2 linked regions of the Caenorhabditis elegans genome follow. The protein of the gene in region 2 interacts with the protein of the main gene of each other region in a pairwise test. Each region holds a gene or a part of one and is shown on either strand. Other genes may lie near its edges. The genes, in order: scrm-6 and C53C7.3.

What was found.
Region 1: the proteins of C53C7.3 (region 2) and scrm-6 interact in a two-hybrid assay, tested with the Caenorhabditis elegans proteins (one large-scale study listed by BioGRID).

The regions. Positions count from the first base shown.
Region 1 is NC_003279.8:11,246,479-11,258,337, reverse strand, and holds scrm-6 (Phospholipid scramblase), read right to left. Parts: upstream 5,083-11,859; 5' UTR 5,054-5,082; intron 5,001-5,053; 5' UTR 4,989-5,000; coding exon 4,791-4,988; intron 3,600-4,790; coding exon 3,240-3,599; intron 2,850-3,239; coding exon 2,663-2,849; intron 2,589-2,662; coding exon 2,455-2,588; 3' UTR 2,411-2,454; downstream 1-2,410. Other genes in the region: F36D1.8 (Carbohydrate sulfotransferase), read left to right, coding at 1-1, 424-555, 599-739, 1,038-1,195, 1,598-1,788; F46A8.11 (DUF7154 domain-containing protein), read right to left, coding at 8,492-8,525, 8,572-8,693, 9,236-9,321, 9,363-9,510, 9,565-9,804, 9,854-9,945, 9,990-10,068.
Region 2 is NC_003284.9:13,041,534-13,053,392, reverse strand, and holds C53C7.3 (uncharacterized protein), read right to left. Parts: upstream 4,836-11,859; coding exon 4,779-4,835; intron 4,732-4,778; coding exon 4,638-4,731; intron 4,489-4,637; coding exon 4,415-4,488; intron 2,925-4,414; coding exon 2,508-2,924; downstream 1-2,507. Other genes in the region: K03A11.1 (TBPIP domain-containing protein), read right to left, coding at 6-219, 275-343, 439-576, 682-930, 1,516-1,597.

The sequences.
Region 1 (11,859 bases), on a different chromosome or scaffold from region 2:
GGTTAGTTTGACAGGGTACTGTAGGTGGGCGGAGTCCAAATTGGAGGACTTTTATTGAAATTAAATGGTAAATTCGGAAAGAGCTCATTAAGAGCTTTTATTTACGTATAGTCATGACTAGGTTTAGGCTATTTTGGTTATTTAGGTCCCACCACGAACTGTAGTTTTCTACTGTAGTTTTCGTGGCGGGGCCCAAAGTAGTCGGAACCTAGTCATGATTATACTTAATTCAAAGCTCTCAGTGAGCTTAATCCAATGATCAATTTGAGCACGGTTAATAATTTTCCAAAATTTCAGAAAATGTCCTATAAAATTGTTTTCGGAGTGAAAATTTTCAGCCAAAAATTTCCTAAAAAATTCTTGAAAATGCGGCAAATTGCTTATATAACTGTTATGCAACATCACAACAAGAATAAATTCCAGAAAATGTCTTGAAGAGGACCAATTCCTAAATCCTACCTTTGAACTGCTAAATGATCCAGATTTGGTCCGATTCGCTTTTATTCGAGATCCAATTCATCGATTCATTTCTTTATACCTGGATAAATGTATTTAGTAAGTTAAAATTCCGTTTTCTTGCAAAATTAGATTTTTATAGTACTAAATCTTGCTACAATTGCGGTACAAACATGGCATGCTTTGTTCAGCGGATATATGAGACATTAAACCGGATAAAAAGCAATCGGAGGAGACTACATGAAGCCAGCTCGATTGAGCAGCATGTTGCTCCGTTGTCATGGTAAGTTTAAAATACTAAAAATTTGATCTAAAGTAGATTTTAAATGAAGTCTCTAGCACGTCTGGGAGCTGAGATATGGGGGGTTTGAAGTTTGGAAAGAAGGGGGTGAGAGCGCAGACGACGAGACACTCTGCCTGTCTGCGTCTCTCTTGATGTCGCCGAGAAGAAGGAGGAGACGCAGAGAAGCAGAGTGTCTCGTCGTCTGCGCTCTCCCCCCTGCCCTAAACTTTAAACCCCCACAACTCAGCTCCCAGAAGAGCTAGAGACGTAATTTTTCCACCAACCTGGCCCTATTTAGGTACTGTAACTTTAACGAGAATATCAAAAAGTATTCCCTACTAATGATGGGTGCGGATCTTGAAGAAAGAAGATCCTCGATTCTACATTTGGCAAATATACTAAAACGACAAGGATTCAGTGAGAAAACTGTGGAAAAGATACAGAATGACGCGTTGGGTAGGTTTTTTTTGGGGTTACTGTAGCTTTCGTGGTGGGACCCAAAGTTAATGAAACCTAGTCGTAATTATACTTGAAAGAAAGCTCCTAGTTAGTTCAATTTTATCGAGTTTTACTACAGTACCCCCCGTTTTTTTCCGGCGGTCCCAAATTTTTTGAAAAGTTTTTTTTTTAATTTTGTTAACATTGTTTAATTCGAACTCAGCTCAACGAGAGCTTTCATTTAAGTATAATCATGACTAGGTTCCGATTAATTTGGGTCCCACCACGAAAACTACAGTACCCGGCTGTCGTGGCGAGACCCAAAGTGGTCCGAACCTAGTCGTGATTATACTTAAATAAAAGCTCTTGGTGCCTTGAACTTGAATCCGTAAATATTTTCCCAAAATAATTATTTTTCAGGCGGAGAAACCGCCCATTCCACACACAAGTCGTCTCATCGACTTGAAGCAGAACGCCAAGTACGCGAAGACCCAGTAATTCGAGATTTACTCCACAAAATATATTTCTTTGATTATGTAGTGTTCCCGTTCAAGAGGGACCAATTGGACACCAAGTATCAAACCGATTTCTGGAAAACTCCTAATTTTTAAAATAATAAAGCTTTAAATTTCAGATTTTTACTACTTCAAATAATTGTTTGTGTAGGAATTTTGTTGATTTTTGATCTATACATGCAATTCACTAAATTCATTCAATATAATCTAAAAAAATCCGGATTCCGTGTCCCAGGCCTGTCTAGAGGCATGTCCCTCATTCCAAAAATTAGATTTTTTTTTCATTTTTAGATAACGCGCCTTTTCCGTCTAATAGTCCTGTACTTACGATTAAAAAACAATTGTATGGAATTTTCAGCGAAAAATGGTGGAAAAAACCTTCGGCTAAGCCTAAACCTAAGCCTACGCCTAAGCCTAAGCCTAAACTCAAGCCTAAGCCTAAGCCTAAGCCTTAGTCTTAGCCTTAGCCAAAGCCTAAGCTTAAGCCTAAGCCTATGCTTAAGCCTAAGCCCAGGGCTAAGCCTAAGCCTAAGTGTTTGCCTAAGCCTAAGCCTAAGCCTAAAAGTAAGCCTAACTTCTTTGAAAAATCGGTTTTACATAACATCTCAAAACGAAAAAAACTCAAATTTGAACTTTTCCGAAATATTTTTTCGGCGATAATTGTGTGGGTCGCCACCAAAACTACCGTATTCTCAATTTTCGTGGCGAGATCCTTAACTGAGCACAAAATGGTTTTCTTTGAGTAAACTTTAAAAAAGAGCTCTAATAGTATCCATAGCCACCATGTCCATATCCTCCACGTTGGTTGCCTCCGCGATTCTCGAAGAATGTGTAGTCGATGAGGAAGGTCGAGGAGATAAGCAGGATCTTGAGGATTGGTGGAAGATCCGGTGGGACTGAAAGACTATTTTACATGAGGAGAAGGCCTACACTCGGCCTATTTTGCAGGCCTATTAGTGATGCAACTCACAATGCACAATGTAGGTGTCCGCATCGGTGTACCACTCCTGCATGAACCCTGGGTAGAGACGAACAATTTCTCCGATTTTTGCGCCGTTGTAGGTCATGACCGGGAAGACTTGCGTGCCACCACAGCATGCACATCCTGGAGAACGGACCAGAAGCGGCTCGTTGCTCCCAGTGCCCACGAGATGGAACTGAAAATAATTTAATGTGAATGGTATTCTAATCTGCGAAACTAGTTTCGGACATGGTGCATCGACTATCATAGGCTAGGCTTACAGCTCTCTGTTGACTTAAATTTTATCAAAAGTTATCAATTATCAAAATACTAGGTACTAATTTTACTACACTTCTGTAGTTGAGAGCTTTTTGATATCTAGAAAAAGAGCCGAGATATGAGCTTCAACGCTAGTTTGGGACATGGTGCATCGACTCGTGGTGTCAAAGTTTCTCATTTCGGCTTGATCTACGTAGATCTACAAAAAATGCGGGAGTTGAGGTGCAGAGTTCTCAACTGAAATTGCATGGGCAAAAATTACCCCGCATTTTTTGTAGATCAAACCGTGATGCATCGACATACTTACATTATCATCACAACACTCTCTCTTCATCATTCCAATCCTCTGGCCCAAGAACTCAGTTGCCAGGAAGTCATCACAAGAGCAGCATGGCCGACTTCTGAAGCAATTCATCACAGGAGCCCCGAAAATATCCATGCACTGCATAGCAAAGTTGCGTTGGGATCCTTGATGTTGGCGAGCAAAGAAACTGGATCTCTCCATACAATAGAGCAGCGGACGGCAATACATATCGTGGACCACGTAGCGATTGGGGGTCTCAATTCCGGTGAAGATCTCGAGTGGTTCAAGGCATTGGACGATCATGAGGGAGGTGGTTTGAGCCAGGACGTCTAGTATGGTGTGAGGGGCGAGGTCCACGAATCCCTTGAATAATGTTGGTTTAGATTGCGGATTTTGAATTTCCCGCCAAAATATTTTTTTCTGAAAAGTCAAATTTCCCGCCAAAAAAATGCTCCAAAAATTTGATTTTCCCGCCAAACAAATTTCTCGCTAACATTTCTCACGATGGGTCCCGCCACGAATGGTAAAAAAAACGATGACGTCACACGGCAGGCCCCGCCCACAAACGGTGACGTCATATGTCCCAGTTTTTGGGTATGACGTCACAGAAAACCTAACAGACCAGAAATATAGTACACGAGCTTCTGACCTCCCTCGTAGCGTTTTTTGCGCTCCATCGACAATCGCCACGGACTACATGTGGGAAAATACGTGTATTCCACATCAAAGAACGCAACGAATGCAAATACGCAACGCGACACGCAACGCCACACGCAACGTGACACGCAACGCGACACGCAACGCGACACGCAACGCCACACGCAACGTGACACGCAACGCGACATGCAACGCGACACGCAACGCCACACGCAACGCGACACGCAACGCGACATGCAACGCGACACGCAACGCCACACGCAACGCGACACGCAACGCCACACGCAACGTGACACGCAACGCGACATGCAACGCGACACGCAACGCCACACGCAACGCGACACGCAACGCGACATGCAACGCGACACGCAACGCCACACGCAACGCGACACGCAACGCCACACGCAACGCGACATGCATCGCGACACGCAACGCGACACGCAACGCCACACGCAACGCGACACGCAACGCGGCACGCAACGCGACACGCAACGCGACACGCAACGCCACACGCAACGCTACACGCAACGCGACATGCAACGCGACACGCAACGCCACACGCAACGCGGCACGCAACGCGACACGCAACGCCACACGCAACGCGACACGCAACGCGACACGCAACGCGACACACAACGCGACACGCAACGCGACATGCAACGCGACACGCAACGCGACACGCAACGCGACATGCAACGCGACACGCAACGCGACACGCAACGCGACACACAAAGCGACACACAACGCAACACGCAACGCCACACGCAACGCCACACGCAACGCGACACGCAACGCCACACGCAACGCGACACGCAACGCGACACGCAACGCGACATGCAACGCGACACGCAACGCGGCACGCACTGCGTCCTAAATCTCCAATCGTCAGTAACTCACCGTCATCTGAATCGGCATCGCTGCGATCATATTCGGCACCTCCATTGGAGTATCCCGTGGCTGTGGAAGTCTCCCGCCGCCACGCATCATTCCAGCTTCCGCTCGGCTCCTCGGCGGCTCATCCTTCTGCCGCTCCTTTTCGGATTTCCCAGTTGAAGTCGCACAGCTGACTGGTTGCTCTCCGGGTTGTTTATTCATTTTTATTGGTTTCTGGAAAATTTGGAAGGTTTTGGGGTCCCAGAAGAAAGCGATAGAAAACTCACATTCGATGACGATGAACAATAGTAGGAATGGCTGATTATGCTGGGAGAAGATATTACGTGGGGGGGGGGGGGGGGGGTCACGTTTTGCAAAATTGAATTTTCATTCAGATTACAAAGCATTTTTTTTTTAAATAAAAATCAACTACTTCTTGGGATATAGGGGAAAAATCTAAGCACTTGTGCCCAAAAAAACAGAATCAACTTCTGAAAAAAAGTGAGCTTGTAATTACAGAAAAGCTATAAAACTGTGGAGAAAAAAACGAGTTTATTCTAGTCTGCGAGTAAAATGGGCTCATAAAAAGTTCAAAAGCTGCTATGCATTCCGCCATGCATCCCATGATGATGATGACGATCCTGGTTACGATCCTCGAAGTATGTGAAATCGATCAGGAAAACCGAAGTGACAAGCAGAAGCTTCAAGATTGGCGGCATGTCCATTGGAACTGAAATATTCCAAAATTCAGATTAAAAACTTCGATTTAAATGCTTACAGTGAACAATGTAAGTGTCCGCATCGGTGAACATCTCCTGCATGAATCCAGGGTAGAGGCGGACAATTTACGATTGTTTCCGTGGTACTGACGGGCAAAGACGTTTGATCTCTCCATACAATAGAGCAGAGGACGGCAGTACATGTCGTGGACCACGTAGCGATTCGGGGTTTCGAATCCGGTGAAGATCTCGAGTGGTTCGATGCATTGGACAACCATCAGGGAGTTGGTATGGGCGATTGCGCTGAGGATGTTGTTGGTGGCAAGTTGGACGAAGCCCTGGAAAGTCAAAATTTAGAGCGGTCACCATTAGCTAGACTCTTTGGCTTACAGTCATCTGAACCGGCATCGCTGCCACCTGGTTCGGAATGACCATTGGCGTGGATCTTGCCGCTGGGAGTCTCTTTCCACCACCTCCACCTCTTCCGAATCCTGCAGCCTTGGCATGTGGCTCGCCTTTCTTCGAATCGTCCTCCGGCTCGACCTCCTCAAGTGATTTGGCCGCAGACGTCAAGCTAAGCGATCTCAATGGTTGCTGTCCCGGTTGTTTTTTCATTTTCTGGAAAATTTAGCCGGTTTTTGAGGAAACTGAAAGTAATAAGAAAACTCACATATCAGAGTGCTGTCCACAATTCGAAAATGAATGAATTTCGATCGAAGGAAGGAATTGATTTTATTTGTGGTTTTGAAAATTGATTACGTGGTGAAAGGCAGAAAGGGCAGAAAGTTTATGTTCACGTTTAAAATTGTGTTATTTATTTATTTATTTATTCAGCCCGTGGATCCAAAAAAAAAATTTTAATTTCTTCCGAAACCTTCTCAAATTCACCACCGACCTGAATTTGCATCACAGAACAAAAACTAATAGATTTTCAATAGTTAAGCAGCTAAACTATATATTCGTTTCGTAGATCTTTACAGCATGAAACCCGACAACAGTACCTCCTGGCAATCAGCACAACAGATATGGAACTGGAAACCAGTACTTGCACAAGCAGTGATAATTTGTCAAGCGTTTGCTGAGTTTCAATGTTATCAACTAGGAGCATACGTAAATTCTTCCATGCAGGATGGTGTTGCAGAATTTTAATTTTTGCAAAATTATTGTGAAACAAATTTTATCAAACTCCCAGATAAGTAAGCTAATGAAATGTTCAAATATTTATTCAAATGAATTGCAAAACTTGGTATTTAGTCAGCATATGGTGACCAGTAGTCGAGATACCTGAAAGAAGTTATTTTTCCGATAAGCTAGCACTAACATTATATTACATGTAAGTGTATGCTCTAATCTGCATTTTGAATGGGGTATTGTCCGAGTATGAGTATTCCAAAGTCATATTGTAGATAGCAGCATTAAGAATATCACCACCTGTTCGAATTGTGCCATTTTTCTGAAATAGCTATTGTATTATTGAAACAGTTTCTAATCATGAGGTTATTACTCTCAAAAGTAGTATCCTCGAAATAAAAATTAGTTATCTAAAATTAGTGCGAGCAGTCTCCAGTTATCATAATATTGTAAGAAGCGGTATAGTATTAATACTTGGAAGAATTTCACCTCATAGTACTGGGATTCTGGATAACCATAGAAACCGCCATTAGAAGTTGAAGAAGCATTGTACTAAGAGAGGTGAAATGATTTGAATGTATCAATAGGGCCTAAATTTGTAATGCTAATATGTGATGATAAACAGCTCAGAATTTCTACCATGGTTCTGTACAGTAACTGCAAAGGCAGCTCCCTCGCGTTGAGTGTGGAATAGTGGAGGCAGTACAATAGAACCTTTTCCAGACACTACAGGGTTTACCGCGTAAAAAGCTATAGGTCGATTTAAGCCGTAAAAATCAATTGCAGACTGAAATAAATTAGTAGTGGAAAACGCTCTCTGAAACCTCACATTGTAGAATTGATCATCATTTCGAAAATCAGTCAGTCCATTTGTTTTAGATGAGAGGTCATAGAGGGTAAGTGGTTGGGATCCATCTGATGGAGTATTTGATGCAATTACATGAACTATTCCATGATGAGATCGAATTTTGGCTACTTGATTGGTAATTTCCACTTCATTTGGGTTTCGTTTCGAGAGAATCACAACTACAGATCCACAAACAGAGAATAGAGATTTGTCGTAAAAATTCTGAAATTGAAAAAAAAAATTTTTTCTATGTTTATTGAAGGCTAGGTTTGAATGCTTGAATGCGAAGTTACCAATTTTTTCTACGACGAATTACGGCGCTGCAGCAGCGCCTCCGCCGGAATCTTTTCTATGCTTTACCTCAACAATTTTCAACGAGTCACTACCAATTGAACTGCTGCCAAAACCAATTGTCTGAAAATTTCGAACAAAAACATCCCAACACATGTATAAACACTTACTGGTAATCATAACTGTAGTATATTTCTGCAGATTGGCTAGTGTCAAATTAAACGTTTGCAAATTTTGTTACATAGTAGTCCAAGTTTCCAAACAGGGTACTGGCCGATTCCGAAACAACACTGGCCTCCAAATCAATTGAATACGCAAATAAAAGTGTCTTCAGGTCAGTTGGTAGGCACTCAAGGGTTTCTGAAATATATAACTTAAACAATATAAACCTAAAGTCTTCCTGGAATATCTGTAAAATTATTTTAAATTTAAATTTTAGCTTCATATTTAATTTTAGAACTGGTTGAGTGCAACTGATTCTGTCTGAAAATGGGACTGCAAGGGAATTGAATAATATAAGAGTGGAGGAGCATTTCGAAGAAATGCAATGTCTTATCAAATAGGTACTTAGACTTTATAGCAATGTGATGCTTATGAAATAATACAAGAGACGGAAAAAAGGAAGTAAGGCGATGAAAATGTTTTATGTATTTCGGAACTGATAAGAAGTTGTTAAAATAATTCTTCGTATGCATGTATTTATTTATTGAAGTAAGTCGAATAGCGAAAGTTGATAATCAGTCAGCATATGGCGTCCAATAGTCAGTATCGCTGGAAATGTTATTTTTCAGATAAACTCTCTCAAATTGTATCTTACATCATCACGTATTGTCTAATCTGCATTTTGAATGGCGTATTGTCCGAGTATGAATATTCAAGGGTCATGTTGTAAATAGCCGCATCAAGAGTCAACCAATCATACTCAATCGTGCCATTTCTCTGAAATAATTTACTTTAAAAAAAAATTTTATTGTACGCAGTGGACTAACAAAAAAACCTAATAAAAATGGGAAGAAGGGATTGTATAAAATATTTATGAAAAAACAAAAAAAAGTATTAAAATGTGAGCGGCCTAGCATTTTGCCAGTTAAATTTTAAATGGGTCTCGTCGATTTTTCTGACAAAAATGTTGAATTTTAACGGATGTTCCCGTTTTTCTTTTGTTATGTATGTATATTCGTAAAGGTGGGGGCAGATAGCTCAGTCGGTAGTGGTGGCCGCTAGCAGTCTGGAGGTCACGAGTTCAAGTCCGGCCTCACCCCCTAGGTTCACCCAGCCTCTATTGGGAAGTGGAGCAATCCACGACTGGATTATCGGCCACAGTCCCCGGCTAGGACGTAGCTTAAATTACAGCCCAGAGGGATCACCACCAGGCAGTGTACCTGAATCCCAGATCCGCAGTGCATAGCACTTGAAGAACGGATCGTCCTTTAATCCTTTTTTTTTTAATTTTTTACATCTTCTTCGAAAAAAAACTGTACCAGATAATCTAGACCATAACCACCATTGGTAGACGATGAAGCGTTGTACCAGAAGAGGTCAAATGATTGGAGTGCATCAATTGTTCCTTAATTTATGCTTATAAAAAGATACGTTAAGAATGTATACCATGATTTTGAACAGTAACTGTGAGCTTGGCTTGGCTGCGATGAGCTTGGTATAGTGGAGGCAGTACAGTGGAGCCATTGCCGGATACTAATGGATTCACCGCGTAATTAACTATGGGATAGTTCAGCCCAGCAAAGGGTATGACAGACTGAAAAGAGTTTTGGATTGTTTTAATTTGAAAATAATCCATAAAAAGTCTCACCTCGTCAAATTCATCATCAATCCGGAAATCGGCTAGCCCATTTGTTTTTGATGAGAGGTCATAGAGGGTAAGTGGTTGGGATCCACCTGATGGAGTATTTGATGCAATTACATGAACCATTCCATGGTGAGATCGAACTTTAGCTATTAGTTTAGAAATATCATTCTCATCTGGGTTTCGCTTTGATAGTATTAGAACAATGGATCCGCAAGTGGAAAACTGAGTGCTATTGTAAAATTTCTGAACTTTTTTATATGTTTAATGTTATGTTCTGATCTATATCACATACCTCAACAATGTTCAACGAGTCACTACCAATTGAACTACTTCCGAATCCTAGGGAAGGATCGGGAAGGTGATCAAGAATCGATGTATTTAAATCTCTAATTTGATAACAATGAAAATTTACTTGTATAAAAACTTACTTGAGGCTATAATAGTAATCGATTTCTTCCTCTTGGTGGGTATCAAATCGAACGCGTGCAAACGTGTTATAGTTATCATCCTCTATGTAAATCTTCACGACATCAAATGTTGGTACAACTACACTTGGCTCCAAATCATTTGAATAAGCGAACAGGAATGTTTTGGGGTCACTTGGTATGCATTCAAGTGTTGCTGAAATACAAACTTTTAACTTAAGCACATGATTCCCCTAAAATATCTGTAAAATCATTTTAAATTCTATGATTGGTTGTGTGCAACTTGGTATATCTGAATTTGTATGAAATCATCTGAAATTAGGATTATATGGAGAATGAATAATAGATAAGTACTGAAGCAAGTTAGAGAAATGTATTGCCTTTATATGAGTGGGTGTTAAATAGTTTAAATAATACTGGACACAAGGAGAATGTGATAAGGCGATAAAACATTTGAGTTTCTCGGATTGATAAGAAATTGTGTATTAAGAAAAAATGCTTATAACCTTCTTAGTTTCAACGCTAATACTGAGTGTAAGACCAAATTCCGTGGGTGTGTTGAGCATCTGGAGCTCATCTGGAGCTATGTTTTGAAAAAAAATTATTGGACTGGTCTATGGGGTTTGATTTTTGAGATTGTATGAAAAAAGTAAGACAAAGGTTCAAAAAGTACGAGAATAAAAATTTGTATAAAAATGTGTTTTTAAAAATGTTATAGGATCAAGAGGTTCGGAATGTTCATATATTTGCTCAAATTAATTGCGAAATTTGGCATTTAGTCAGCAAATGGTGTCCAATTGTTTGTTTCGCTGTAATAGGTTATTTTCAATAAAAAAGGATTAAAGGAGTAAAGGACTAAAGGACGATCCGTTCTTCAAGTGCTATGCACTGCGGATCTGGGATTCAGGTACACTGCCTGGTGGTGATCCCTCTGGGCTGTAATTTAAGCCACGTCCTAGCCGGGGACTGTGGCCGATAATCCAGTCGTGGATTGCTCCACTTCCCAATAGAGGCTGGGTGAACCAAGGGGGTGAGGCCGGACTTGAACTCGTGACCTCCAGACTGCTAGCGGCCACCACTACCGACTGAGCTATCTGCCCCCCCCCCCCCCCACTGTCTTAAAACAATCTTACATAAAAGTGTATAATCTAATCTGATGTTTGATTGGGGTATTGTCAGAGTATGAGTACTCAAGTGTCATGTTGTAGATAACAGAATCGAGATCATCACCACCAAGGGTGTCAATGTCCCGTAAAAATTACAAAAACGGGACAACGGGATGTCCCGTTCCCGTGAAAATTTTAAAAACGGGACAACGGGACGTCCCGTTCCCGCGAAAACACCCAAAAAACGGGACAGCGGGACGTCCCGTTCCCGTGATAATTTTAAAAACGGGACAACGGGACGTCCCGTTCCCGTGAAAACACCCAAAAAACGGGACAACGGGACAAACGGGACACGGGACTTGACACCCTTGATCACCACTGCCTCCTCGAACTGTGCCATTTTTCTGAAACGTAAGTTTTCAGACTATCTGATTCATTGGAAATAAGCGGTAAAAAATGTTTAATTGTAAGAAATGTTACCTCAAAAGGGTAGTTATGCCCATAAAAACCACCATTTTTAGATGATGTAGCATTGTACCAAGAAAGGTAGAATGAATGGAATGTATCTATAGGACCTTAATTTGTAAGGTTGATGCATTAAAAACGAATTAGAATTAATACCAAGGTTCTGTACAGTGACTGAAAAGTCAGCTTTGCTGGGTTGAGGTTGGAATAGTGGAGGCAGTACAGTGGAGCCATTGCCGGACACAACTGGATTTACCGCGTAAAAGGATACAGGCCAAATTACCCCATCAATACAAATAAGA
Region 2 (11,859 bases):
CTTACGGTGTAAATCTAACATGAAGGTTCAATGGTCTCTCGATAGCACCTAGCTCCTCCAATCGACGGACAACCATGTTCAACACTTTTGTGTCGATGTGGTTTTCCCTGCACAATTTGACCGTATCCACTGGTATTTCGTATCCAACATTGTCTTTCAAGATTTGATAGGCAACAGCATATTTGTAACCGTGAGCACAAGAGTTTTTGTGGGCAATTTCTGAAAAATCAAAAATTAAAGTTTTGTTTTAAACATACAAGTGGTTTATTCTTACTTGGTCGCTGTACTTTTTGTTTCGATGAACTTTCCAGTTGAACATTTTGATAAGGTTTCACGAGATCAGCTGAAAACGAAACAACCTAGTTAAAAAATAATGAGAAAGCATGTTATGTTATATTCATATGAATAGGAACAGAAATTGAGTATTTAAAAACTCACCAATCGCGTCAAGCCCGTTATTGGCATTGTTCTCAGCCAAATTTTCCGTTGGCGTTGAAATATGAACTCCGTTATGTACATTTGAAATATTCATATTCTGACCAGTAAGCGCCAATGCCCCTGCATTTTGATAAGAATCTAAAAATAATTGCCTTAAGATAGTTGACAAAAATTAAAGACAGCACTTCATTTACTATTTGCCATGGTGGCTATTAGCTTAAGCAAGGATATCAATAGACTCACCTTCAACATACTGTTCAGCAAAGGTATTCTGGGCAAAATCCTCAATTGGATAACTCATCTCAGCCCCTGAGAAATCATGATTCCCATTTTGTGAGTATTCGTTCGCATCATTGTTCTGTTGAAAATCCAGGTGCCATTTTTTATGATTTGGTCCGTGGAGTGGGTAGTTCAAATAGATTGGTAACTCTCCAAGATTATTTTGATCAAATTGTTGATGGTTAATCTGATGATACTCCTGACTTGTATTATCTGAAAAAGTTTCATTGAATTACTGACAAAACTTGAAGTGATATGGATAAAATATTTCATTGAGATACCCTGAATACTATCTGTTTTCAAAAATACACCATTTAGATTTAAAGTTTTTCCTTTTTTAATGGCACTATTTTTCTTGTTTATTCATAATACACCAGTGTTTTTTGATTCCAGTTTCCAAACTGCGATAGCTCAAAATTTTCATTTTCAACAAAAAAAAAATTATTTGTCAGTTTTACACCAATTGCAATTCAGTTGTCATTAAACTAATTTGGATGAGTATATACCTACAGTGTACTTTTTTTTACTTCTACGATTTTGAAGGAGGACGAATTTATGCGAAATGGTCTCGTCACGCGCAATCCATTGATTTTTGAAGAGCGTGGCGAGGCCATGAGCCTACTTTCTAAAATTTTCTAATGTTGATTTGGTATTTGCACATTCAATGTTTTTCTGCCGTGTCATAAAGTGAGACAGTCATATTTTCCCATATCCCCATTTATGACCTCTGTCTAGATACCTCTCCTTTTTGCTCAATATATTTGCATCGCCCCTTCCCTAATAAAAATGATTTCTTACAGATGATATGGCTGGTTGTTTCTTTGCCATGGGCACCGCCATCTGCTTCTTGATAAGATGGAAGATGCTGATGTAGATCCATATTATCAGCTCTTTTTTTTGAGTTGAAGAGCCACGCTTCGAGTCGTGCACTTCTCAGCTTTGTTGCATGCAAGTTGAAGTAAAACTGAAAAGTGAATACATAGTGCTGCAATCGTGTGTGCCAAGGTTTATTGAGAATAAACGAGTTTTTATTCCTACTGAGATAATGTAGTTATTAACAATTAGTGATAACGTTTTCTGGGTGGAATGAGGATAGTGTTTTGATTCAGTGGTACATTGGACATACTAGAAATAAAATTGCAAACCGAAAGAAATCAACAGAGAAAAATCACAATTGAAATTTTTGTGAAACAATTAAAGAGCGGACAAGAGAAAAATCGAAAATAAAAAGAATGATTGAGTGGACAAATGGACAGAATGAGTGTAGTCAGGGGAGGGAAGATGAACTATTGATCGATTTTAAGATAGATATGGGAAACGCTTGCAGAATAGCGCACCTGCTGTTTGGAGTAAACAGTTACAGCCAATTAGCACACAAATATCGATTTGGATTTACAGGTGCGGTTGATGGAGGTTGTAAAAAGAAATTGGAACAATGAGACTACGTATTCAATAGGGAGAGGATTTTATGACTATTTCTAGTTACATTTAAGTATAAAACATTAATTTGGTCGGGAAAATCGAAGAAAATAGAACACCTGTTTATTATAACCCCACATTTTAAAAATTAATTAAGGTTTCATTTATTTGTTGCTTTCAATTAAACGTGATGTGCAGATGTTCTTTAGGCTTAAAAATAAGGGCGGTATTTTTATATGCATGAAAATTTGAAAATAAACCTCACGTTTTGATTCAAAAATCAGACGTTTCACAATGTATGTAATGTGGGGTTATAATTCACAAGTATCAGAAATAATTATCGCTCATACAAGTCGTGTCTCACAAAATCTTCAAACTGGATCTTCTGGGACCACTTCAACTTCCTGTAGATCTTGAAGGTTTAGCTCATATGGTGGGAAGTGTGGGTAGTGATGATCAAAAAATGCTGGTGGCGGTGGTGGTGGAGGTTGAAGAAATACGTGCTGGTGGATAACGTGTTGAACCTCTGGCGGTCGCAAGAGTAATTGAACCAGCTGGTCTAACAGTCGGTTTCTAGCATATTGATCATTGAGCTCGAGATCTTCTCGTTGAAATTGAATATTACCATGTTGGTGTGACAGAGCAATGGGATGTGGCAATGGCTCATCATTGATTGGTGGCGATCGCATCATATGAGACAGTGATGGCGGTGGAGTTGGTACATACTGGCGATATGAGCTGTTGTTGTTTGGACGAATCGGCACTGGTCGGATAATTTCATTGAGAATCTAAAAAATTATAATGATATTAATGGATTCTCACAAAATATTTCAGTATAGTAAAATTTCTTAATAGTAAAAAATTGTAATAGTAAAATTTCTGAAACGAATTGTTTTTTGTAAAAAATAAATTGCCACGTTGCTGGTTTTGTTGAATGGTTTTAAGTCTAGCTTTTCCGTTTCTTTTTTTTGCAGATTTCTTACAGTGCCCTGACCAATTCAGCAGCTTGTTTGAACTATTTTGTATTAAATTGTTAGATGTAGCAAAGAAGTTTTAGCCAAATGTCACGTGCTTATAAATTTAAAACAAACCAATATCCAGCACCTTGCGTAAGTGTGGAAATAAATTATAACTATCGTACTATGGTTTCATATTGAAGTAGCTTTCAACAGTTTATTTATTTATTCATCATGGAAACAAAAAGAATATGATAAGAAACGCATAACCGGTTATGATATTTACACGTGTAGATGAATAAATTAAAATAAACTCGGCCCGACAGAGCGCGAGTTTAAGTGAGAGGAAAAGAGATCAGAATTTAGATATTTGACAATCAACAAGCGAAAAGAATTGTGATGGGGAGAGGAAAAGCTAGAGTTGCGTACAATGCTATTCCATATTGGTACTACTTGGGAGAAAAAGCTACGACATTTGGGATTTTTAATTTTAATGAGCATCGGACGACGAGACGAGTTAGCAAGCGTAACAAAGTTACTGCTTTTTGGGAAGTGCGCTGCGCCGGTAAGAATTTTGTATAGAAGCAATAGTTGGGCTCTTAGGCGGAGAGAGCGGGCTGATGAAATTCCTAGAATTTTTAGTCGGTTTTTTTTAGTCGGTAGGATTTGGAGAAAGCATTGTGTGTTTGTGGAGCATTTTTTATTTTGTATTTAATATTGCAGCACTGTAGGACCCGTTTAGAAAAGTATTTGAGTAGAGATTCGAGTGCTTGATAAATTAGATATTGGTGGAGGGGAGTATATGACTGATCCGTATTCAAGGATAGGGGAAACGTAGGTCTTGTACATATTTATATAGAATTTAGGGGAAGAAGAGAAGAAACATTTGAGGATTTGTTTAGCGCGTAAGAGGGCAAGAGAAGTGGCTCTGTTTATATGAGGTTGAAACGTTAACTTGGAGTCAGTGTAGAGACCAAGGTCGCGAACTGAGTTGGTGAAGGAAACTGTGATGTTGTCAACGGTGTAAACATTTTTATAATTCTTTTTGCCTAACTGAAGAAGGGCGGTTTTGGCAGGGGCAAGCGGGAGTTGGTTATCTTTTGACCAATTAGCAATTAAATCTATGGCTGCTTGTAATTCAGAAGGGCTGTGACCAAATAATTTAATATCGTCCGCAAAACATGAGAAATGGACGGTAGGAGGGATTGAGTATAGTAGATCATTGATGAACAGGATAAAAAGAAGTGGACCCGATACAGTTCCCTGGGGAACGCCAGAGGGTACAGAGTATTTTTGGGTTGAGGTAATACTGTCTCACTTACTGGGCGTTCCAGTGGTGGTGCAGGTTCTTGCTGGACATCCACTTGCTCAGCTGACCTCATTTCAGTTGGATTTTCTGAAGCATCTGAAGATATAAATGTGATAATTTACTGGCTTTGTTCATAAAAGGATTTTGGAATGAATCATATGCTATCTCACAACACTTAATCAAAAAATTTGGTATCTAATCTTTAAACTGCCAATTTGGCAATATCTAATCCCCACCAATGTCTAGCAGTTGTTCTTGATTTCTGGCGCTGTCGTGATTTCTCCTGCCTCCGCCACTTTCCTCTTGTTGAATTGATTGAATATTGACGTTCTGAAACTCATAACCTCTCATGAGTGTTTTTTTAGCGGATCACTCACCGGATTCGCACTCCTTTGTTCGACGGGTGGCATATCTCGATTTTCGTCTTGCTCCATCTGAGTAGATTGTAGTTATAAAGTATTAGTCGAGTAAATGAGTGCTCGTCGGGTAGAAGAGGTAAAAGAAAAAGAAGATTAGTGAATATAATAAAAGAAAAGAAAGTGTTAAATCAAAACTACAATTGTTTGTAGGAAAAAGGAGTAGAAGGAGAGAAAATGCCTAAGAAGGAATAATGAAATATGCTATAAAAATTGTTATGCTCATGAAACCTATTTTTTTAATTTTTCAGCTAGTGAAATAAGTGGTGGGTTTTGTTTGGAATGGCTATTATAGTAAGGTTGTTACAAAAATACACACACATCTTCTATTTGTCACAAATATTGTCTTAATAAAAGTTTTGAAGTTGCAACTGTTGAATGTTTGTGTCGGCATTCGAACAAAAAGCCTGAAGATTTTAAATTCTACAAAATATCTTTTCAAAAAGAGATACAACGCTTAAATCTAAAATTTGGTCCTTTAGACATTAACTTTTAACCAACCTTGGTAGTAGGAAGCAAAACAACAAAAAAAGCGAGAAAAAGGAAATGAGCACCTCCCCGGAAAACCTATTCATTCTTTTTTGCCTGCTGCATTATCAAAATGTAAGATAATATTAATGGTCGGGTGGGTATTCATGGCGCGAAGCTCACGTTTCCATGTCAACCTCAAACCGCACTTGTTGTTTAAGTCGCCAGAGCTGGTTCACAGGGAGACTCTCATCGCTGCTTAAACAGAGAGAAGTCATTATTACACAAATACGAGCGTACTCAAATACTAGTTCGTGTGAAAAAACAATTGAAAGCTGGGCTGGAAGTAAGAAAAGTATAGATGTGTGAGAGTACCTGGAAAAGGTAATAATAAATTTGAGGGAGTTTTATCTAATATTAGAACATGGCCATGCTAATGTCTTCGTTTTTGTTACAATTTTAGCATGTTCTTAAAATTTAGTATATAAAAAGATATACGTATTCTTTAACACAAAATTGCTAGCAGTATTTTAATACTAACCTATATATTAATTCTGAACTGAAAGACACCTTATCTTATGTTTTCCAAATGAACACCGGGAAATTTTTGTATTCTTATAGTAAGTCAGTTATCATTTTATGCTTTTCTTTTAACCAATGTAAATAATTGGCACTATGCATTTACGAATAATTTATATTTCTTGTAAATCTATTGTCAAGACTAATTTTTAAGTTCTTTATGAAAATATATCCTAAATTCGTTTAGTTTATAAAAAAAAACCTCTGTGATGTCCAATCGTGTAGAATGTTTTTTTCACAATAGTACATATCCTCAAAATAAGTAAAAATAAGTAAAAATAAGTAAGTGCAGTTTGGAGAAATTTTACTATGATGCCCGAGTGAAACGTTTTTGAAACAAAATTCCAACAAGATATTGGCAATTGCAATAGAACCCAAAAACGATTTACTATAAATAGAGCCTGTTTTAAACTTTGGTGTACTTTATCTAAACGTGCTGAATACGTTTAAATTTGCATTGACTCTGATTACTGTCAAATAAAAATGAATTATATGTATTTCAAACACTTCGAGACTTTAAGCTTAAAAATATCGTTTTCGAAAAAAAAACTACATGACAAATCTTAAAGAGATACAGAAAATATTGGTCACAATTGAATACGTATCCACTATCAGACCTTTATTATTTTACAGACGGAGTTTCTCAAAAATAGTTTGCAATAGTAGAGAAATGAGGGAATGTGGGTGGCATCGCGTGCCAGTCAAAATGTATTAATTGAAAATTCTATATAATTTTTAGGCTTGTAACCGAAGTAGCAGACACTGGAAAATTCATCATCTTTTCAAATTTTTACAAAGAACTCCATATAAGGAACATTTCTTATCAATTTTATGCAAAACAAAACAATAAAAAGAACAAAAAACTGTTTCGCAGTCAGCAGGATTCGAACCTACGCGGGCAGAGCCCAATTGATTTCTAGTCAATCTCCTTAACCACTCGGACATGACTGCTTCTTTTAAACTCGCTCCACCGGACATATAAATTGGCAGTCTCACTTCGCCTCGTCGCCGCTTCCCTTTCTTTCTCTCACTTCTCTCTTGTTGAAATTTATGTTTGCACTAGCTGCCCCTCTCAAACCATGCAGTCATGTCCGAGTGGTTAAGGAGTTTGACTCGAAATCAAATGGGCTCTGCCCGCGTAGGTTCGAATCCTGCTGACTGCGAATTCTTTTTGTCTGATCAGATATTTACTTTATCAGCGAATGAAACAATTTTAAAGCAAAAAATACTTTTTTGCACCTTGCGTAGTGCGAAAAGTTTAGTATACGAGTGAGAAAAATGTATAGATTTGATAGTAAATTGAAACAATAACTGGTTTTTATGATTTTTTATTGTCAACTTTGAATGAAATACATTTTTTGGTTGAAAATTAAACAAAAGAAAATCAAAAGGGCGTTGAACGATTTTAGCAGGAACATTTCTTCGTGCGAAGGGATTCGGTGAATTCAGGAGACTGCTAACATGGAGTCTTCATTCTTTATCACATTCTACCCCATTTCATCTGCTATTGATGTGGTTATCATAATATTGTCTGAATAAAAAAATCATCAAAAACAATGCATCTCAAGTTTTACCTGATAAATGTAAGTAATTATGTACAACAGGTGGCAGTTGTGAGACCACTTAATGATGGCTGGAGTTCGAAACAAGAAATAAATTGTTGTACATTACAAGATGGAATAACTGAAATCAGTATTTTATAAGGAGTTTATATTCTGGCTTACAAACCTTTATGTAAAGTGGAAGCGGAGAGTTAATGAAAAATACTGTAAATGATAAGAAAACTCCAAAAATGATTTTTCTTCATAATTTTACTCTTAAGATTGCAAACTAATGCTGATTCGTTATGACTAAAATATTTTCTGTCACATTGTAAGCCTGATGACTACATTGACTAAGCATTTTGTCATTCCGACCTTGTTTTGCTCTGAAAATATTCCAATTTAGTCCTGTCAGTTCTATTGAATACGGTCTGTCATTTTTGGGGATTTCGATTTAAATTGTTCATTCAAAAGAAACTTACAACTAACTATTCCCATTCTATTGGAAGAGTATCCAAGTTGTATTGAAGATGCAGAATATGCACTAGTTTTTCCACTGTTCCAATTTATGACGTCATAAATGGCTGTCATTTTTTTTTGAATGGGTAAATCTTGAACGAATTCTGCATTTTTGAACTTGACGGATAGCTTCCACTATTGAAACTGTAAACAAGATTTAATGAATCTGAAAATGATTCCCTAAAATATTTATGTTTTAGGCTATTGCTCACTTTTTTCGGATTTTTTCGTCGATGGGAGGCGGCGGTTTTGTTGCTATTCTAGAACATCTGAAATATAAAAGTAATGTTTGAAAAAAGCTGTTTCAGTTAGATTAAATACTCGTTGGAATGTTGTCTTATTTTTTTTATTCAGTACTTATATTATACTACTCGTTTTTCTACGTATATTATTATTAGTATTATTATTTAAATTTAACTTACTAAGTGAATTACATCTAATTTGGCCCATTATATGGTTTACTTTTTGGAATTTTGCGTCGATGGGCTGCGACGATATTTTTCAATTTCTGAAAATTAAACTTTCATTGTCTCTTCCAACACCTTGAAACAAACTTTTTTAATGACCGAAGTCAAGGTTTTGCCGGGAGCATTAGCCGGAAATTATACTGTCTGAAAATATTAGTCATGAAACTTTAGCTCAAACTTTTAAAAATTACTTTGGGTTTAAAAAAACAACGCAACAGTGAAGTAACGAAGTCATATTAAATTCTTGTGCCATCAGCCATTTCATGTTGTGTTGTGAGAAATTTTCAATTGTAGAGCCAAGGATCTCATCAAGAGCGCTGATAGCTTAAGACTGAAATATTTTACGTTAGGGCTCAGGTTTTTAATGAGGGCTTACTTCTTTTGTGATTTTGAGTCTATACAACAAGGATTTCCGTCTGAGAAGGAAGACGTCCAAGGAAAATGAAATGTTGTATGACAAGATTTTTTTTAATTTTCTGAAAGAAATAATATTCAAACCAGTTGTTTGTTTCCACTAGAGAAACATCTACAATTTTCATGAAGTACTTCTAACTTCGATTAAAACAACCAGTAAAAACTACAGTGAAAGACGTGATGTCAGGCTGTCTCATTACAATTTGATCTACAAAAAATGCGGGAATTTTTTTTTCAGAAAAATTGTGACGTCAGCACGCTCTTAACCAATCAGATGAGATGTCTACGTCTCACCTCCCGCATTTTTTGAAGATCAAATCGAAATAAGAAATTTTGACTCCACGTGGTGAAACAAAAAAAGGCGCAGACGGCATTATTGTGAATATCGATAGGGCCTTATTGTGAATATCGATATTTTTTGAGTAATTCATTCTTCATTGTGAAGTAAGAAATAGATCTTTGAACCGATGCTCAGAAACACAGATTACAGAAAAAAATACGCAGGCTTGAGTTGCTGATGGCGGCTTACTATTAGTTTTCATTATTTTCTCACAGATCGAATTAAACACTACAACAGCTATTTTTCAAATTTCATATATATGTACTCACTTTGTTTTTCAAGACAATTCTCGAAGGGGTTTTCGCGATATTTTTTTGAGTCTGTAAATGAATCCATCTTATCAGGAAATTGTTGTCAGTAGCCTACTTCTTTGAAATCTTTGTTCAGGCACTTGTGCTTGCTGTTATTAGGAACTGTTTCTGAAATTTCTTAGATATATCAGCTTTTAAAATTTTCCCAAGTGATCTCCACTCACATATAGTTCAATAAGGGCCAAGACCATGTTCCATGGCTTTCTTGTAAAGTCAGTTGATGGAATCCATCCTGGAATTTATTAATCTTGAGTGAAAACTAAAAATGTGATTAACAAACGTTTATTAATATATTTCGGGCTCTCTTTTACCGGAAGTAGGTGCCGAGGAGGCGTTGCACTCTGAAATTTTAAATTGACATTTTTAAATTAAGGCTACTATCAATTTTGATAGTAAATGTCGTTACCATTGGCGTCACGGTTGGGTAGTACCTCTCTTTTATTGGCACGAGGCAGGCTCACTGCTTTCTCGACGGTAGAACATCATGGGATTAATTTTTTTGGGTTTTTAAATTTTTTTTGGTTATTTATAAATCAACTTTCTGAAAGTATACAGGATTTGCAAGTACGTAAAACAAAATAAAGACTCACCGCAATGTGATCAATATGTACATCAAGTAGTTCGAATCTTGGTCGATTTATTATTAGCCTTTTAATTTTTTCTGAAAAGAGAAAGTTTTAAATTAAATATCGGGAGCTGTTGTAGTAGCTGTATTTCAACATATTTTAATTTAAAAAAAAATTAACACGCGAATTCTTTCGTATGTTTGAAACTGAGAAATGATGATTTTTAAATAAATTTGATAAGAAAAAAAAATACCTTTTTTTTAATTTTTGAGGTTGTATATTGTTTTGGGCACCTGTAAAAACACACGAATTGCAATTTTTTCAAAAATCACTTACAAATGTGCTGAACGTATGTTGTCTGTGAATTGCCACATAGAATCTGCAAAATTGAAATTTGTTAAAATTTTTATGTCAGGTTTTTTTTACCGACTACAAATTAGATATTGAAATTTGAGTATTATTTTGCTTTAAAAAAAACTAACAAATTTTTTGAAGTATTTTAAGTATTCATTTAATTTTTACAGATTCCAAACTAATGGAAAACGTTGGTGGTTTTGAAACTTACATCGAGGTGCTCTGTAGGATTGCTCTGGTTTTCAGCAATAACTTTGAAATTGTATTCTAAATTGAAATAATTAATTTTATCCTGCATTTTGAAAACTTACTTTAAAAAAATTTTTGTGATCTGTTTTTTCTCTCCACCTCCTTGATGATAAATTGCTTGGAGAACTTTCAGGTTTGAACGTTTTTTTTTATTTCTGAAAAATAATTGGTTTTATATCAAGAAGAGTTTTTATTGCTCTCACTTATTGGATTTTTGGTATATTTGTTTTCATTGATTCTTTGGTATGAGGCGATACTTTTTTTTTCAATCCAACACCATGAAATATGAATTACTTGGAAGGTTTTTGCAGGTCATGACAATGTTTTTTTAATCTAAAATTGTTTAATGATAATATCTTTCCAGAATAATTTCACTCACTTTTTTTGTTCCAACTCCTTGAAAATTGTGTTGCTTGGAATTTTTTTGAAATCAGAGCAAGTTGTTTTTTATTTCTAAAATGATATCACAGCTTCAGAAATTTATACAATATCAGGAGGCTTACTTTTTAATTTTTTTTTTGGTTTTTGTTTCATGAAAACTTCCTTTCGATGGTACTAGAAAATTTCCATTTTGTAGGCCAATTACTGAAACAATCAGAAATAATAAGTGGATTCTAAAAATTACACGAAATATGAGAAGGAAAAATTATAGTTTTCAAAAATCAATACGTGCTTTGGGCAAATGTGGGGTGTGCTGGGTGAGCGTGTGCCTCTATAGGCGCGAGGTTTCGTTGAGGGCCGGCAGACGAGAGATAGAGATGGAAAGAAAACGAAAAAGTTGTTCGGTTTTTGTGGTGTTCTGTGTTCCAAAGTTTTGCCAAAGGCCATTGCTGTGAAAGAACGTGGTGTCAGGTTGTCCCATCACGGTTTGATCTACAATAAATGCGGAAGATTTTGTCCAGAAAAGTGTGACGTCAGCACGTTCTTAACCGTGCGACGACAGTTGGAATTTCTGCGTCTCATTTTCTGCAATTTTTGTAGATCACACCGGGATGGGACACTCTGACTCCACGTGTGAAAAGGGAAAAATACAATGAACATTGAATTTACATAAAAAAGGAAAAACAGATTTTAGTATGATATGACTCAACGTATCAATAAAGTGAAAAGCAGGGTTACGGTTTTGATTAATCTAAAAGTTCGACCGAAGTCGTTTGAGTAAAAACATGAAAAATAAAGCTCGTACTATTTATTATAAATATGCCTTTTTTTTAAGTATTTGCCCAAAAGCACC